2 linked regions of the Drosophila melanogaster genome follow. The protein of the gene in region 2 interacts with the protein of the main gene of each other region in a pairwise test. Each region holds a gene or a part of one and is shown on either strand. Other genes may lie near its edges.

Region 1 (4,270 bases), on a different chromosome or scaffold from region 2:
TGCACTACTCTGCTAGTGTGATTATTTAGTTTTCTTTTTTTTGTAATTGTTGACCCGGAAACGCACGCGTATATATATATACAAATAGAGAAGTATCCAAAACACTGTGAGCATGGCCAGGTGCCATGGAAAAGCAAGTTGCGAGGAATTATGAATGCCACATGATGATGACCGACCCCAGAATGCGAAAGTCACTCACTTATTTACCTCTTTTTCGCCCCTAATAGAAAGTCTAGTACTTATACATATTTGTTTTTGAGTTGGGACGCTAGAATAAATGTTGGGGCAAAGCAAACCAATATATATGAAAACACAATTGTTGAGATGTTGCAAAGCATGAGAATGAGAATGATTCATGAACGAAAACGAAACGAAATAAATGATATTTATGTAAGAAACTCATAATCGAAATTATTTCAGTGGAACTTTGAATATCGGAGCCGTGTCGCGAAAACGACAGAGACGGATGATGGACATTTTGGGAGCGGAATAAGGGACACCTGGTTTTTCCCACTGATTACCGGACAACGCATTTCGAATTGTCTTTTTTGTTTTAATCATATCGTTTTGATCGGGATCACACAATTGGGTTATTCTTAGTTATTCTTATTTCCTTCAAAGCATTACTAATACAAAATGTACAAAGTATATGATTTTTGTGTTTGTTCACAGAAATAAATATGTAGGTTTGGAATACAAAATAACAAAGTGAATCTCTATATACTTCTTGCTTCCATTAGCATCCGTTATCAGTAAATACAATACTTGGATATACAACTTAAAGAAATCAATTCACGTGTTCCCCTCTCTTTGGACTTGCCGGAAACTAATAACAAAGTTTTTTTTTAACTGTGCTCTTAAGAATTAGATATGTGTTTTTGCCATACAAAAAAAGAGACGAAAATTACAAGTTACAGGTGTGTGTGTGGTGTGTGTGGCTTGTGTTTGCTGTTCTGAGTGTTTGCTATGCTTGGGGTGCTCGTTGCGCACGTTTTGAGTTTAAGGCGTTGAGTTCATGGGTGGTCAAATGAAACGGATCAGTCAGTCGAAGGCTGCACTCCGCTCTGCTCTCCACAAGCGTATATGATTATTAGCCACGATGCCGGAACAGTGGGCGGATCGTATTGGATCGGTATGTGGTATGGTATGTGGTATAGTATTGCGTTGCATCACTTCACATCGCATCACATCAGAACGTTTTACAGGAAGTAGGGCGTTGTGTTCTGCTTGGGTATCACACGCTCCGCATCCGGAACAGCCAGGAAGATCTTCGTCTGCCGCTTCTCCGCCGTTTCGAAGCTAAGAATGGCGGCAACGTTGCCGCAGCGATAGCAATAGTTTGGCGCCGACCACACGGTCACCAGTTTGCCATCAAACATATACTTGATGCCCTCGTTGACCAGCTGATGTGCTCGGCATATGAGGTTCAGATTATTGATCGCCATAAAGTCCTTGGTCACATTGTGGCCAAACAGCCAGCCAGCGCCGCGCGGACTCTGGCCCCAGTACTCCATGTCCTCGGGATCGGACCACACCAGATCGCAGAAGGCACCCTTGTACGGTATCTCGCCGTTGCGATCGATCGTCCTGATCTGGTCCAGTGTAATGATCTCGGGACTCAGGCCACCGTGCACGCACAACACCTCCTCGTCGATGATCTGTGTACATTAGGGGCAGTGGGGTAAACATATATGTAAATGATTAAAAGGGTGTTGTCCACATGAAGTATCCCATAGTTCAACTCACGGCAGCGATGGTAAGCAAATCGAAGACCTTGCAGCAGTATTTCCAGCCATTGGCATTGCCGTACTTGCTGAAGCACTCGTCAAAGAATCCGTACACCTTGGTGATCTGCCGCGTTTCGTGGTTGCCGCGCAGCAGGGTGATCCGGCTGGGATAGCGCGCCTTCAGCGTGAGCAGTCTGGTGAATGTCTCCAGCGAGTAGTAGCCCCTGTCCACGAAGTCGCCCATGAATATGTAGTTGGTATGCGGCACCTGGCCTCCAGTGCGGAACAGCTGCTCCAGGTCGTAGAACTGCAATTTGGGGGTGGAGTGCGATGGCATTGCGTTAGTGGACATTGCAATGACGTAGGAGACGAAGACGGAGGAGATGACCGCTTACCTGGCCATGGATGTCACCGCAAACGGTGACGGGCGTGCTCACGGGCAGGATGTTCGTCTCCTCCAGGAGGATATCGCAGACCATCTCGCATAGCTTCTTCAGCTCGTTCTCCGGCAGGTACTTGCATTTCTTCACGTCTTCTATCCACTTGTCCACGTCGCCCATGATGCCCGCTGCCTGTGAAATCCACGGTAAATCGCCTTAAAACAAGTTAATAAATAAGTATTGGTTGCACGTCCATCTGCGCACCTACGGTCACACTGGCTGGTGTTCAATGGTTATCGAGCAACGGTTATACTGCTGCCCACGGTTAGAGTACTAAAAAATTGATCTAAAGTTTCTTCTATTCTTTTTATTTTAAATACTATTGTTGAGTATTTTATTTGCTTTTGTTTTCCATCGATAAATGGTGCATCAATTTTTTGTTTAGCCGATGCAAGCACCAGTCGCATGGGACGTTCTTATTAGAACTGTATACTTGGTGTGTACACACTGCGTAGCGAGAATGTCACATGTTATCGATAGCTAACACATTTGAATTCAAATTCAAAATATTTAATTACTTTGGCGGTCGATTTTGTGTTTTTCTGTATTGTTTTCTTTGGTTTTGTGGAGGCAAGCGAAATTAGTTGCAATTAGCCTTTAGCCGCCACAAATCATAATTAGTCCGCAATGAAAGCTTTTTAAATCCGTTTATTTTTTAACCCAAACCCATTTACATATATATACATATATATTTTCTTTGGCTTGTTGAAAATAATCACGCTCTTAGATTTTATTGCCATCGCACGCCACGCTACTTGTTCGCTGTTTGTTTTGCAGCTCCGCTCATTTTTCCGGGCAGCAAGTGTTAAGGGTTATGAGAAGCGTGCTGGCATGCGTTTTTCGGCACGGGGTGGCACATGGGTTAATGGCCCTGCAGCTTGTTTAGAGTCTCATTAGCACGCTGCCATTTGATTGTGTTGGCTTCTTTCATTTACTTTTCGCATTCGCTGGATCTGAAGTTGGGAAAATAAACGTGCCATAAAGGTGACAATTCGCGAATCAAGGGAAATTGGTAAAAAAAAAAAAAAAAATGAACGTTTCACGGGTTTCGAAGCACAAAATATATGCAATTTATTCAAAGTTAGGATGCTAAGCATATATTCATAGAAAATAATTGAATTAATTGTTTGTATTCGCATTTAATTGTGGAATCGAATTAAATGCAATATCTTTTAGTTTTGCAAATCGAAACTGTTGTGCTCGCCACCCATCTCTTTCTGCCACCTACTCTCCGTTCCTCTCTATCACTCTCACTCTCTTACTCTCTCTTTCTCCCCCCGGCGAAGATGTCGTGCTCCATCATTAGTGGCGTTACTTTATGCCCTTCCGTTTTGGTATTCAACTTGGGCTTGTTCTCCCAGCTGCTTTTTGTGCTCTTTTGGCCATCTTGCCAGTGCTTTCCATTCAGCCATCCAGCCATCCTGCCCCCCCAATGCTGGCCCCAATCCGCTCGCATCCTTCCATTGTCCTTGCCGCTCTGTATGTCGCTGTTTGTGTCCGCCTGGCACAATGTTGACAATTAAGTTAAACTTGTTTTCTTACTTCGTTTCGTTACGTTTCGCCAATTCCGCTCGCCCTCTAAAAGTCAAAGTCCTGTCGTCTGCGGCTGATGTGGCTGATAATTATGTGCCCCCTGCACGGACGCAAAGGACACGGACGGCGGAACAAGGACAACGGACAGCGGACAGCCTCTTGGCTTTATCTTGCTGCAAACACGGTGCCAAAAATTCTAGAGTTTCGAACAATCGGTTAAAAAAAAAAAAGTCTTGGACTTCATATTTTAACAAATTCCTCGGCTCACAGAGTTTTTTTTTTTGTATTCTCAATTAAACGCAAAAAGATTATTACACCTTCGGCTATTTGAATGGTATTTTCAATATTTTCCTGCTGTGTGCAGTCAGCGGAAAAAAAAAAAAACATTGAGAGCAAGCGATAAATGACCAACAGTTGTGGGTCATTTTATATTTTTGGCATTGTCCGCCTTCTTTGGCCGCGCTGCTCATTTTAGCCGGCTTTTCTCCTCTTCTTCGCCATTGTTGACGTTTTGTTAACTTGTTTTTTCCTGTGCCACTCCGGCCACGCCCCCTTCTCATCTTATTTTTT
Region 2 (5,229 bases):
CAGACCATACAAAAGAAAAATCAGTTCCTAACGTTTCTTAGTGCAAATTGATCCAAGACGAAGGTTTCCTTTTGGCAATGGAGTAAAACTTAAGTTAAGTTTTTTATACTATGACTATAATCAACTAACTTTTATGATGATAAAAGCCCTGTTTAAAAAACAGAAAACTAAAATGAAGGTGTTCTCTTTACTCAATACACTTGACACTCGTAGAAGAAATTGATGTTAAACATACGGAACTGATTGGTATCTTTGATGCAGATACACGGATTTCCTGGCTCACCTGTGCACCACCAGGCGGATCTCGTTGCCAGCGCCGCGGAACAGCTGCTGTGCATCCGCATGACTCAGGTCGCGTGCGTCGTACTCGCCGATCTTCGAGATGATGTCGCCTCTTAGAAGTTCGCCATGCGCTGGGCTGCCCACTTGCACCTGCAACGGGTGGGGTGGAAAAGGAGGTGGGAAGGTCATTAGACACACATAGTATAGGGTGCAACGGGCTGGTTGCAACCTTGACACAGATTTATGGGTGCCTAAATAGATGCAGACAGAATTATGATCGCCAAAATGTGTGTGTTTACATCGCAGCTCAGTGAAAAGGGGGTAGGTAGGAAAAGTGGAAATTTTCTTCGACTATTCGGTTGCGCCTCAATTAGTTTTACTGGCGTCGCATTTTGGCAACGCTGCAGCGTTTATTGTTGCTGTGCCCGTTTCGCTATTTTGATTTGTTGTTGTTTATTTGGGCGCTGAGAACAAAGCGGCATGCGGGGCACAAAGGCCAATCGCTTTTCCTCAGGCATTTCTTCTCTGGCTCAATTTTGATGAATGGACCACAAGCGACCACAAGGCGACAGTCTCTCTGGTTATATAACGCCCATTTACCCTGGTGATAATTAGCGGCGTGTCCAGATCGTTGCCGCCCACCAAACGAATGCCCCAGGGCGTGGCCTGACCATCGCGCAGTAGCACCACCGCAAACTCATGCAGCTTGGGGCTCATCCTGATGTTGAAGATAGACTGGAAGATCAGACGCTCATCCGATCCAGCGATGGTTTATCCCGAAAATATATATTTATTTTTTATTGTTTATTTTTTTTTCTGGCCTTTTCTGGCCGAGCCGCAGGCGGCGCGCGATTGCAATCCGTTAAGCGTTTTGTTCGATCGCAAAGCTGCTCAAGTACTAATTTTAAAATACAATTCGTATTCCTTTTTGCAGCAACAGCAGCGGCAGCAGAGTACACTGCGCCACAAGTTTGTTTCTTACATACACATATGTACATACATGTACAACTTATATCCGCCGGCAACGGCGACTACATGCTGAGAAACATGAATTCGATTGGCGAATCCTAATCGTTAAATGGGGTTTCCGCTAAGAGCACTCTGAATTTCTCAGAGCGGATGTCGTGGATTCAAAAAGCATCAGGAGCATTTACCTCGGCAAAGCTCATAATTACCACAAGATAATTAGGCGTATACTTGATAAGCGGCTGCATATCAAATTACGCATACGCAGTGTTAATAAACATGATTGCTTGCATGTGTGCCATGTATTTAAAGCTTTACTATTTTCATTATTATATATACCCAAATCGCGAAGAGCATCCGCAAGCCACCACAAACTCAAACCTTTTCCCACATTGTTCCCATTGTTTAATTCGACGTGTGCCCTGCATTTGTGGCATTCTGCATTTCGTTGACCACATTTTAGGGCAGCACTTGATCCAGTTGCACGCTGACCCTGAAGAGATGAATGCCACATATCATCATCTAGGCGAATGCTTTGATGAGCTAGCTCGCCTGATGCAAAAAAGCATAAAAATCAAGTATCTAGGCATCTGTTTTTCCTCGACATTTTCGACTATTTTATTAGTGTTTTATTCCTCTCCGACTTGTTTGCCGAACGATGAGGCAACCAAGAGAGAGTGTAATTAGTTTTAGTTACTGAGGCGGTACTAGCACAACTGCAACAACCAATTCGACACTCTTGCCCAATTTAAATAAGCAAATCATATTAGATTTTTAATGCATTAGTCAATGGAAAAGTCTACGGCCAACGTGACGTATACGCAATATGAACGGGTCAACGGTTGAAGGACGTTGGTTTGTATTAAACATTCTGTCTGCCTCTCGATTTTGGCAACAATTTTACTGTTTACAGCGGAAAAATCTTTTCCTGCCTTTTGGCTTTTCGCTGAATATATACACAATATATGGCTTGCCATTTCATTTTTAATTTTATACATTCTGATTTCGGCACTTTTTGGCTGGCTCTTGAAATGTTTTTACTATTTGCGGCTTGAATTGTTTTCATTTCATTTTCAATTGGAATTCGTGTAATGTTTTTACGGTGACTTTTGCTGTAGATCAGCCTTGAGCGGATTGTAAATCATTCGAAATTCTTCACCCAACGTCTTGCGAATGGTATAAAAGTCATGCCAATGGAAATATAGATCCATCCATCTTTTTTGGGCCATTTTACTTGACCGAAAAGTGCAGCAGTGGCCAATTAATTAGATTTGGCTTGACAAATTTACGAGCCGCAAGGGGCGAAATGTTATTGAACTGATTTCTGAGTCGGCCTGTTGTGAATTGGGGCCACAAATACATTGGAATACGAATAAGAAAAGAACACACGCGCGATGATTGACAAGCCGGGCGATTTGAAAGGGGTTGGGGCTTCCACTTTTCTCGGCCACTTGGACTTACCCCCACGTTTTGCTCATCGGCAAAATGGACGCGCTTCTTCAGTCCGCTGCTGCTGCGCCGCCTGCAGGGCGATGGCAGCGGTACGAGCGGCGGTTTTGGGGTCGGCTGTGGACGATAGGACGTGGGCAATTCGTAACCGGGCACCTTCCAGAAAGCCGGTCGACTGAATGACGCGGACGCCGATGATCTGCTGGTCGTCATTGCTGGCCAGCGACTAGAGTAAACAAAAGAAATGCTCCGCACATTCAGAAATATGCGCTAAATTCTACGATTCGAACGCGTCTGCTCGCGACTGCGTGTGTGTGTGCACTAGTAGGCAATTGAAAAATCAAATAAAAGCGGAGAAAAAATCAGAGAAAATGAGCGAAAACAGAATATTATTATTCATTCAAAATCCAGTGAAATAGTGAGACGCGGAGAATTATGAATGGATTAATTGATGTTTCAGTTAGTAAATTTGATTGAGCAAAGAAAATACATACAAGCAATATCTAATAATCATGATTTAATCATTTTCATTTACAATTTAAACAATAGCGCCTTCAGCTTTACAAGATCTGGCAACCAGCTTAAAAACAGTTTTTCAATTAATTAATTAAAAAGAACAATACAATTAAGACAGAAGGTAATTACATACATTTTTACGAGGACAGTAAACCATTTAAAATTTCGATTTATTTATAAAATTTAATCGTTAAAAACTTTGAATTTTACCGCCCAATGCACTCAAAAATCGATAGTCGCAGAGAATAATCGATTAGAGCTCGAACCATCTGGCAACGCCCATTGTTTTGTTGTGTTTTATACCTGCAGATTTCACCCAGCATAAAACTGAGATAAAGCTTTAATTAATTACACATAGGGGTACTGCAAGATCTCAGCATAGCCCCGCCCACATAAAGCCGCAGCATGTCTATTTTCAAGGCGCGGTAAGCTGTTATTCTAAGCTAATCCAAACTTCTCCGTAAACAAAGACTTTCTCTAACCAAAATGCAGAGTCAAGGAATTTGAGGATGTTTTGGCGGGGCCACAGGATTTAATTGACCTGAAACAACTCAGGAAACTGGCATTTAATGGTAGAAAGCTAAGAGTGCATTTGAAATGTTCAAAATTTGAAGTCTGAGCACTCCACAGGTGTGCCCGATGTGCAGAGTTTTCGAGCACTCAGTTGGAAGCTACTCCTTGGCTATTTGGGGCCTAGGCGCAGTAGTTGGACCACAACCTTGGCCCAAAAGCGAGCCCTGTATAAACAGTTCATCGAGGAGCTAGTCCTGCCCCCCGGACACTCGAGCAATAGAGCTAGCGTAGACGGAGGAGATGGGGACAAAGTCGATTCGGGGGGCGTTGGCCTGCAAGATCATCCGCTGAGCGAGGGACCCGAAAGCGCGTGGAACACGTTCTTCAATGATAACGAGTTTCTACTGCAAATCGACAAGGATGTCCGCCGCTTGTGCCCGGACATATCCTTTTTCCAGCAGCCCACCGATTATCCCTGCGAGATTGTGGTCCACAGCAAAGGAGAGCATGGACGAAGGCTCCACGAACGGGTGGTTCCCGCCGTTCTAAGTTCGGCGAATGTGGAACGCAAGGGCCTCGGCATGACAAAGGTGAGTTCAAGATCGGAATTGTGCTAGACAATAAGCTCAGAATGTGTTGTTTCATTCATGCATACCGTGTGGATTTTAGCAGCAAGTAAGTAAGCCCATCTGGAACTGCCCCAAACCTAATGAATATGTGTGCTCTATATAGATAAATTTGATTACAAAACGCTCCGTTGAAAACTATGCCGCCATGGAGGAGGGCCAAGAGGCTCACTGGGAAGTTGTGCAACGCATTTTGTTCATCTATGCCAAACTAAATCCCGGCCAGGGATATGTCCAGGGCATGAACGAAATCGTGGGACCCATTTACTATGTTATGGCCTCCGATCCTGACCTCACATATCGCGCCCACGCTGAGGCTGATTGTTTCTTTTGTTTTACCGCCCTGATGAGCGAGATAAGAGACTTTTTTATTAAAACACTAGACGACGCAGAAGGCGGCATCAAGTTCATGATGGCCAGGCTATCGAATATGCTGAAATCAAAGGACCTAAGCATTTACGAGCTACTCAGGAGCCAAGAGCTGCATCCGCAGTATTACAGCTTCAGGTGGCTCACACTGCTCCTGTCGCAGGAGTTTCCACTGCCAGATGTACTGCGCATTTGGGATTCCGTGTTTGCGGACGAACAGCGATTTGATTTTCTGATAAAAATATGCTGTTCAATGATATTGTAAGTAAACTTAGCTTTAGTATAAAGCAAGAACTAATATGAAATTTTGCAGAATCCAAAGGGAAGCAATTTTGGAAAACGACTTTGCCTCGAATGTGAAACTCTTGCAAAACTATCCGCCAATTGACATTAATGTTGTGATTGCTCATGCCGGATCATTGGCGTAGCATTCCTCCAGAAATATATCCTTGTGCCCAAATGCTTGCAAAGCCCCCTAGTTAGTTTAACAACTGAAAGAACCAAGCAA

The links. Proteins that work in one complex are often made in the same cells at the same time.
Region 1: the proteins of Zasp66 (region 2) and PpV interact in a two-hybrid assay, tested with the Drosophila melanogaster proteins (one large-scale study listed by BioGRID).

Annotation. Positions count from the first base shown.
Region 1 is NC_004354.4:6,370,530-6,374,799, forward strand, and holds PpV (protein phosphatase V), read right to left. Parts: upstream 2,387-4,270; 5' UTR 2,288-2,386; coding exon 2,123-2,287; intron 2,035-2,122; coding exon 1,747-2,034; intron 1,659-1,746; coding exon 1,200-1,658; 3' UTR 536-1,199; downstream 1-535. UniProt on the Drosophila melanogaster protein: May be involved in controlling cellularization or in regulating transcription of the genes involved in this process.
Region 2 is NT_037436.4:8,622,164-8,627,392, reverse strand, and holds the start of Zasp66 (Z band alternatively spliced PDZ-motif protein 66), read right to left. Parts: upstream 3,023-5,229; 5' UTR 2,911-3,022; coding exon 2,710-2,910; intron 1,185-2,709; exon of another isoform or gene 1,000-1,184; coding exon of another isoform or gene 883-999; intron 433-882; coding exon 284-432; intron 1-283. Other genes in the region: GAPsec (GTPase activating protein, SECIS-dependent read-through), read left to right, coding at 3,619-3,638, 3,706-3,785, 3,844-4,316, 4,459-4,982, 5,035-5,149.